Macaca fascicularis: one gene and its partner. The protein of the gene in region 2 interacts with the protein of the main gene of each other region in a pairwise test. Links are inferred from orthologs where the notes say so. Each region holds a gene or a part of one and is shown on either strand. Other genes may lie near its edges.

What was found.
Region 1: the proteins of CDC42EP2 (region 2) and ARHGAP26 interact in binary tests that used the Homo sapiens proteins (3 or more experiments, as listed by UniProt). The two-hybrid records come from large-scale screens. The link is inferred for Macaca fascicularis from reciprocal best matches to the Homo sapiens genes CDC42EP2 and ARHGAP26.

Annotation. Positions count from the first base shown.
Region 1 is NC_088380.1:149,276,826-149,280,568, reverse strand, and holds the start of ARHGAP26 (rho GTPase-activating protein 26), read right to left. Parts: upstream 2,604-3,743; 5' UTR 2,218-2,603; coding exon 2,064-2,217; intron 1-2,063. UniProt on the Homo sapiens protein: GTPase-activating protein for RHOA and CDC42. Facilitates mitochondrial quality control by promoting Parkin-mediated recruitment of autophagosomes to damaged mitochondria.
Region 2 is NC_088388.1:9,054,641-9,058,383, reverse strand, and holds the start of CDC42EP2 (cdc42 effector protein 2), read left to right. Parts: upstream 1-1,058; 5' UTR 1,059-1,116; intron 1,117-3,743. UniProt on the Homo sapiens protein: Probably involved in the organization of the actin cytoskeleton. May act downstream of CDC42 to induce actin filament assembly leading to cell shape changes. Induces pseudopodia formation in fibroblasts in a CDC42-dependent manner.

The DNA of each region.
Region 1 (3,743 bases), on a different chromosome or scaffold from region 2:
TAAATAACCCTTCAACTCTATCACTGCAATGTTCCTTCCTACCAAAGAATTCTTGCCCTCAAAAAAATAGTAGTAGGAAAACTGCCAGTCACCCAAAGGCACCCTCCTCAGATTCAATGCCAAAATAGAAAACACAAGTCCAAATCCTAGGGCTTGGTGCAAAAGGTTCCATTCCGGGCAAGTGAGATGGGGCAGAAATAAGAGCTCTGCATTGGCAGGGACTCCATCACTGGCTCAAACCAGGTGGATTCAAAAGCTCTAGTCCTGCTGCTAGAGCTGTGTGACTCAGAGGAAGTGTTTTCCCCAGTCTCTGTTTTCTCATTTGCAAAATGAATCTAAGCACATGAGATAATTATAGGTGAAGAGTGCCTGGAATGAAGTACACCTCTGTAAGCACAGGGGTAGCAAAATATTCACTGCTACACCCTTAGTGCCCAGTGCAGTGCCCACTGCAGTGCCCACTGCAGTACCCAATACACCACAAGCACACCAAAAGTTTGCTGAGTGAAGCAGAGAACCCAATAAAGCCAGCCTGAGGTTCAATCAAAATTCCTGGGCCCAACCTGTGAGTGGGCCCCCAACTTACTCCAAACCAGGGACCCACGTCCCCTAAACCAAGAATGGCCTTGATCATTGACAAAGGAAGAGTCTGTTCATATGTTTCAGGTAAGGCACAGCCTGAGAATCCGCCTCTAAGAAGCCTCATCACATCACAGTCCTGTGTTCATTTCATCCCAAAAGATAGGCACTCTGAGCTGCCCTGGCATTCCATTGTCTCTCTCTTCATTTTTAGAAGCAACAAGCTGACAAAACGACATCTCAGGCACCTGACTTTTGTAAGTGCCCTTTAAAGAGGCTTGGGAACAATTCTCATAGCTAGGACTCTACTCTGCTAAGGCAACCTTTCTTAGCTGAAAGGTATCACCTACTAACAAATCCATCACAGAAAAAGATAAAGTAAGAGAGTCAGAGACAATCCCACTATCTGCCTTCATGTGGTTCCTGATTCTTAAAACTAAAAGATGAACTGAGTTATTTTTAAATGGGGAGACTGAAAAGGCACCAAAAACGTTCTCACAATCCAAAGCACTCATCCCTAGAGCACGCTTATTTGGCCAGAAAAAGAAACTCTTTGGCTCTGCAAAAGTGAAGCAGAATGCAAAATTGCATCTCTCCCCTTGTACCAAAAGGAAAAAACGCAAAAATGGTTTTACAAAAGGTCCAAGAATGTTTGAAATACGTTTAAACTTCTTTCTGAGGACTATGGACATTCCTTCTCAGACCTTTACGTTTTCAAGGATAATGGGAGAGGTAAAAGGGAGAGCTTGGGAGCAGGAGAGGGAGAGAGTTGGGATATGCACATTCTATTTTTAAACCCTCGCCCACAGTTTAGAGTAAAGGAACACTCTGATTCTCTACTCCCACCCCTATCACCTTCTGCTAAACACAAGAATCAGAACCTGCGCACGTACTGATTCTAGATTTAGAGATTACTGGCTGCCAATACTCCAAGGAGTCGCAAGCTAAAACCAAGCATTCCACCCAGGGAACCCGGCGGCCTGACTGGGCTGGAGCTGCGTACAGGGAGCGAAGCAGTCACAACCCGCCTTTTCCCAAGGGGAGGCAGCGCCCCCTCGGCAGAGCACGCTCCATTCTCACGGTTGGGCACCCAAGGCTGAGCAACTCTGCCCCTAAGGGAGCTGGAGCTGTGGACACGATGGGATCTGCCCGCAGGCTGCGGCGCGCTGGGCACTCTGGCCCCACTCCTGGGGACACCTGCGTGCCGCGCACGCCCACCCGCGGTGCCCCAGAGCACCACCCGCGCTCGGTCACCTCCCGACCATCCCCGAACGCAAAAAGGCGGAGCGACGGGTCTCTCTCTTCATCTGATGGTTGCGGGTTCGCCCGCTTTACGTATCCTTCCTGCCTCGGAGGCGTCGACACCGGTCCCCCAGTGTACCGGGAGCAGAAACCCGGCGGATGCGCGGGCAACCCGGGCTGAGCGCCACCTCCCAGTCCCTCCCGCCCCGGGGCCGCGTCCCCGCGGGGCTCGGGACACTCACTCTTGAGCGCTGTTATGAGTGACTTCCCGTCCTTGATGAGCTCCTTGATGAATTTGTTGGTCTTGTCCAGCTCTGCTTCGTGCGACTTGAGCGTCTCTCGGAAGTGCGGGCTATCGAGGCAGCAGTCGCTGAACTCGAGAGCTGGGAGCCCCATAGTGCCCGCGGCGCCCAGCCGCGGGGGCGCGCCTCCCCCGGGACCCGGGCCGCCCGCTCCCCAGAGCACGCACGCGGCAGGACCCCGACCGGCTCCTCCGACGGCCGCCGGCTCCACAGGTGTGGCGCTAGCTCGCTCCCCGCGCGGTGACCGCCGGCACGCAAGACTCCCGAACCGAGCCCGGAGCCGGCCGAGGGGCTGCTGCTCCCGGCGCGGGCAACGGAGTGGTTCGCGAGCAGGAAACGCAGCGCCGACCCGCAGCGGCGCCTGGAAGCGAGCGAGCGGGCCAGCGAGTGCAGACGCCGCCTCCCCGCCTCCTTCGCTAGCTAGCTCTCGGCAGCCTCGAGCGCCCTCTCACAGCAGCCTCGGCCGCCCCGCCGGCGTCTGGGCCGCTCGAACCTGCTAGCGATGACTTAATCCCCGCCGGGCCAATCAGCGCACCCTCCCCTGCCCGACCCTCGGGCCGCCCGGGGACGCCCGGCCCTTCCGCGGTCTTGATCCAATCAAAGGGGCCTGGAGGCAGGGTCTGCGGCTGGGGGCGTGGCCCTCGCCAACGCCTAGGTCCGCAGCGCAAACTCCGCCTCCTATTGCCCGCCCGGCGTTGCAGACCCCGAAACCCAGGGGTGAGCGTTGCTGTGCACCCGCTCCAGCACCCTTGCCCGCCTGCTCCGGCCCGAATCCGAGCCGCGCATGGGGAGTCTGCTGGTCCTGGGGGCCGAGGAGCCTCGATGTGCCAAGCATGAAAAACCTGGGAACTAGGGCTGCAGTTCACCACAACATGCCCTGCACTGCTGGGCAACCGATTTTACACTAAAAATGCAGCCCCCTGCCCCGGGAGAATCCCGAGCGACCAAACGCTCCTCTTCCAGTCAGGCAGAAAAAAATGTTATTTGCATCTTAAAATTACCAGCTCTTGCCTGCAGTCTTCCCGCCCCCTACGGTCCGTCTCCCTCACGGCCACTCCTGCTCAGAACCCGCCCACGGCTCCCCTCAGCCGAAGGGGCTCACATCCTTACTAGAATTTCAGCCGCCTGTTATTTTCCTGCTCTGCATCTAGCACAATTTTACATAATTCCGTCCACTGCCTGTCATCCTTCGCTACACGGTAAGCCCCACGAGGGCACGTGCCCCTGCAATTTTATTGTCCGCTGTTGCATCCTGGCACCTAGCACAGTGGCTGGCATTTAATAACAGATATTGAGCGCTTCCTATGTGCTATGTGTGCTATGGTGATTGATAAGTGTTTGTGGAATAAATGAATGATCCTTTCCCAGAGCCATCTCGACCTCCCACGCCCAGTGCATTGCCCTGTAGTCCCTCTGTTCGACCGCAGGACTCAATTCTGGCATCTCACTCGTTGCACTTGTCAGGCTGGGTCCCACAGGGTGTCTAGTGCTGAATTGTGAACTCCTGGAGGATAGGGACTATCCTTGAATAAATTATCTCTATGTCTTGGAATCAGCAGCCCTCCTTCAGCTACATGGGGGCTTCATGTTTGTTTGGGTTGGTTTGTTTTTTAAATAGGT
Region 2 (3,743 bases):
AATCTCTTGAACCCAGGAGACAGAGGTTGCGGTGAGCCTCACGCCATCGCACTCCAGCCTGGGCAACAAGAGCGAAACTCCGTCTCAAAAAAAATAAGTTTCTGGCCCTGTAAGAATGACTGACTGACTTAATGAACGAATGGACCAGGAACTAGTCTGAGTATGAGCCCCACCTTCACTCTGGAAGCCTGACAGCAAAGACGGGGGTCCAGGCCACGCGGCCTCTGCCTTCCCATATTCTCTTTTCTCGCGGAAGGTAAACTCATCAACTCGCTTGTATGTAAGTTTGTAGTATTCTTTTTTTTTGTAGTCTCGCTCTGTCGCCCAGGCTGGAGTGCAGTGGCCAGATCTCAGCTCACTGCAAGCTCCGCCTCCCGGGTTTACGCCATTCTCCTGCCTCAGCCTCCCGAGTAGCTGGGACTACAGGCGCCCGCCACCTCGCCCGGCTAGTTTTTTGTATTTTTTAGTAGAGACGGGGTTTCACCGGGTTAGCCAGGATGGTCTCGATCTCCTGACCTCGTGATCCGCCCGTCTCGGCCTCCCAAAGTGCTGGGATTACAGGCTTGAACCACCGCGCCCGGCCAAGTTTGTAGTATTCTAACGTAGGCGCTTCCAAGGCCTCATTCATTCCCAGGAAGTCACTGAATATACTTGTGCCAGCGCCTCCCCGATCCAGCCCTGCAGGGAAGGATCCTGTCCAAGGTCTCTCTGCGATTTCTGAAGAATTCGGTCTTCCGGGAGCCTGTCTCTCGGCCTTTCTAAAACCGAGGGTTTTAGTTCCCATGGGCGCAGCCGGAGTCCCGGGAGGCCACCCTGAGCCATACGGACCTCAGCCGCCCGAACCAGGACAGGACCCCAGGGCGCGCGCGACCGCTGGACCCGGGAGCTGCACCTCCCACACCCGGAGCCCCGGGCGGTGCCCGGAGTGGGGCGGGGCCTGGGCGGGGATGGGGAGGGGCTTGGCTGGCGCGGCCCAGGCATTGGCTCCGCGGGCCGGGGCGGGGCTGCGGGGTCCGCGGGGGGCTCTGTAAGTTCACCGCCCGTCGGGTTCCGCAGCCGCGCTGTCCAGCTCCTGAGACTTTGCTGTCCGCCAGTCCGCCGTCTGCTTGCCTCACGGTGAGTTCAGGCTTGGATTTTCGCAACTCCGCGGCCCCCCCGCCCCCGAGAGGCCCATCTCTGTGGCGCCCCGCCCCAGCTCGCGCCCTGGCCCTGCCTCTCACCTCGCTCAGGTCCTTTCGAGGGCGCCTAGGGCTCCATGGGTTTCCCGCCTGCATGTGGGTGCCCGCAGCCTCGCCCGTGCCCGCCACGGTCCGTGGGGCGCCGCGCATCCCGACCCCGAATTCCCCGTTCTGCCCTCCATTCTGTACCCGGGCCCCCGCCCCCCTCCCGAGACCCAGGGGTGCCCCGCCGCCCAGCGTCCCCACCGGGGCTGGGGGCCATATTTTTAGCCGATGGTGAGGTGTCCTCCTATCTTTAGCTGCGGCCGCGAGTGTCCTGAAACGGATCCGTGCTGGGCTGGGCTGCGCCCGGGTAGGAACGGGGAGGGGTCGGCGCCGGAACCCGAGCCGGAGCTAAGGAGCCGGACCCGTGGGAGGAGCGGGGGCCCGCACGCCCGAGCTCTGGCCCTGCGCCAAGCGGACACTAGGACATCGCCCAGGCCGGAAAGCACGGGGGCGGTTCCTCCCAGAGCTTAGAGACTAGGGCAGGGTCCCCAATCGCCTCCTTTTTCTCCGATTGTGGGACCAGAAACCCCGAAGCAAAAAGATCTCGCAGGCAATCCCCGTCTGGTACTTGAACGCGCAGCTCCTTGGGGAGCGCCTGCCTGGAGCCCGGGGGGAGGGGCGTTGGAGACCCCGGTGCGCTCTCGGAATCCTCCGGGACACGGGGCGCTCAAGGGAGCACGCGCGCCACCTGGCGGCCGCGGAGCCGAGCGCCTCTCCAGAGGCACGGGGACCCCGGAGACCCCGCGGCCGGCTAGAGGGACTCTGCATCCGCGAGGTCTAGGAGGGCGGGAGGAGGTGGATGCCTGGGGCCAGCAGCCGTTCGTTTTTTATATTGTTCAAAGCACTGGCCCCGGAGAACCGAAGTGTTTGAGGAAGGAAGGTCTTGTAGATATTTGCTGAATGAATGATAGAACCTACAGTAACCCGCTGAACCCCGCTGTTGTACACTGGTGCTCTCATTTGCAATATTGCAGTGGGATCTCCAGTAGCCCTCTAGTGGTGGCTTCATTGTCAGCCCATTTTATAGATGGGAAAGGTGAGACCCAGAGAGGAGAGGCGTCTTCCTGAAGGTTACAGAGGAAGTCCCAGGTGGAGCCGGATTTAAGGACAGTCTCCTGATTTGGGGGGGAGGGGGGTGTGAGGTGGCCTAATATTCCTCATGATTGGAGGATCCCTGCCTGCCGGAAGTCATTTTCTCGTTGGGAGGTCCAGGGCTCCTGTCCAGGGCAATCACAGAGAGCTAGGATGCTCCTATCTGCTCCCCTACTGCTGCAGGGAGCTCCCCTCCCAGCCCGCATAGCCCTGTCCTGATGGAGAGCTCATTCTCATATCTCTAGACACATGAAAGTTGGGCAGATGGGGGCAGCCAAAGGTCAGAATGTAGATGGAGGAGGTCTGGGGACCCACTGTTCCCAGCCTAGCTGTTTCTCTCCCGCTCCCCAACCATATTATGGAGGTAGGCGTGGCCCACTGCATGGAAGCCACACGGACCAGGCTGGGTACCCACTCTTCCACTTCCTAACTGGATGACCTCGCCAATGTTACTTAACATCTCTGAGGTTCAGCTTTGACTTCTGTAAAGGGCGGTAATGACCCCACCATGCTGTGGCTAGAAGTATTAAAATGGGAAACTGTGCGTGACAGGCTGGATCCTAGGGTCTTGCGGTTGCCAAATCTGAATTCTTCCGGTGTGAGGGTTGTAATTCCCAGCTCTCCCCTGGGTCGCTGATGCTGGCCTCACCCTTAGTTCTCCCCACATCTGGAATTGGGTGTGTACATCTGGCTGTGAGTGAGACAGCTGTCAGGGACGCCCAATTTGTTGTGGAAACACTCAGGCTGTCTTGGCACTGCTGTGTGATGGGGTTGGGGGTGTGGGGAGGACCTGGCCCAGGCTCTGGGCACATCCCACCAGTCAGCCCCACCAGGACTTCTCTCCTAATGAGCGACAAGTTGCATGTTTGTCAGCATGGCCCCCAGGCCTGGCATGGTTGATGAATGCATGACGGGATTCCAAGACCTCGGGGTGCTCATGCGTCCCCACCCTCCCCCCAGCTCCTTGCAAGCTGAGCTGGATTTCTACCATGGGAAAGTTATTCGTTTGTTTCCTGTTAAGCTCCAGGTGCTCTGGGAGGGGCAAGATGTCCGGCCTCTGTGGCTCAGTACGACTGACCCGGGTGTCCGGTCCTGGGGTGGGGTTTCCTGAGCAAGGGCCTCAGCTGGTGGTGGGGGTGCAGTTGGACTCTGCTTCTCCTGCATCCTCCTTCCTCCTTCCTGCTCCCTCCTCCCAACCCCCTCACCCCCACCCTCACCCTGTCCAGAATGAAAACTGAGGCAAAGAACTGGCAAGAGCCACCTTTGGTGAGCCCTGGCTGGGGCTGGGGGTGGGGTGTACAGGAGAGTGGGCACATCTGGCTTGAATTCCCACCCTGCCCTTACTCACTGGGTGACCTTGGACAAGTTTCTCTCTTTGCCTTTTATGCTGAGTCTACATCTGGGCTTGTGTGTACCGGACCAATGAGG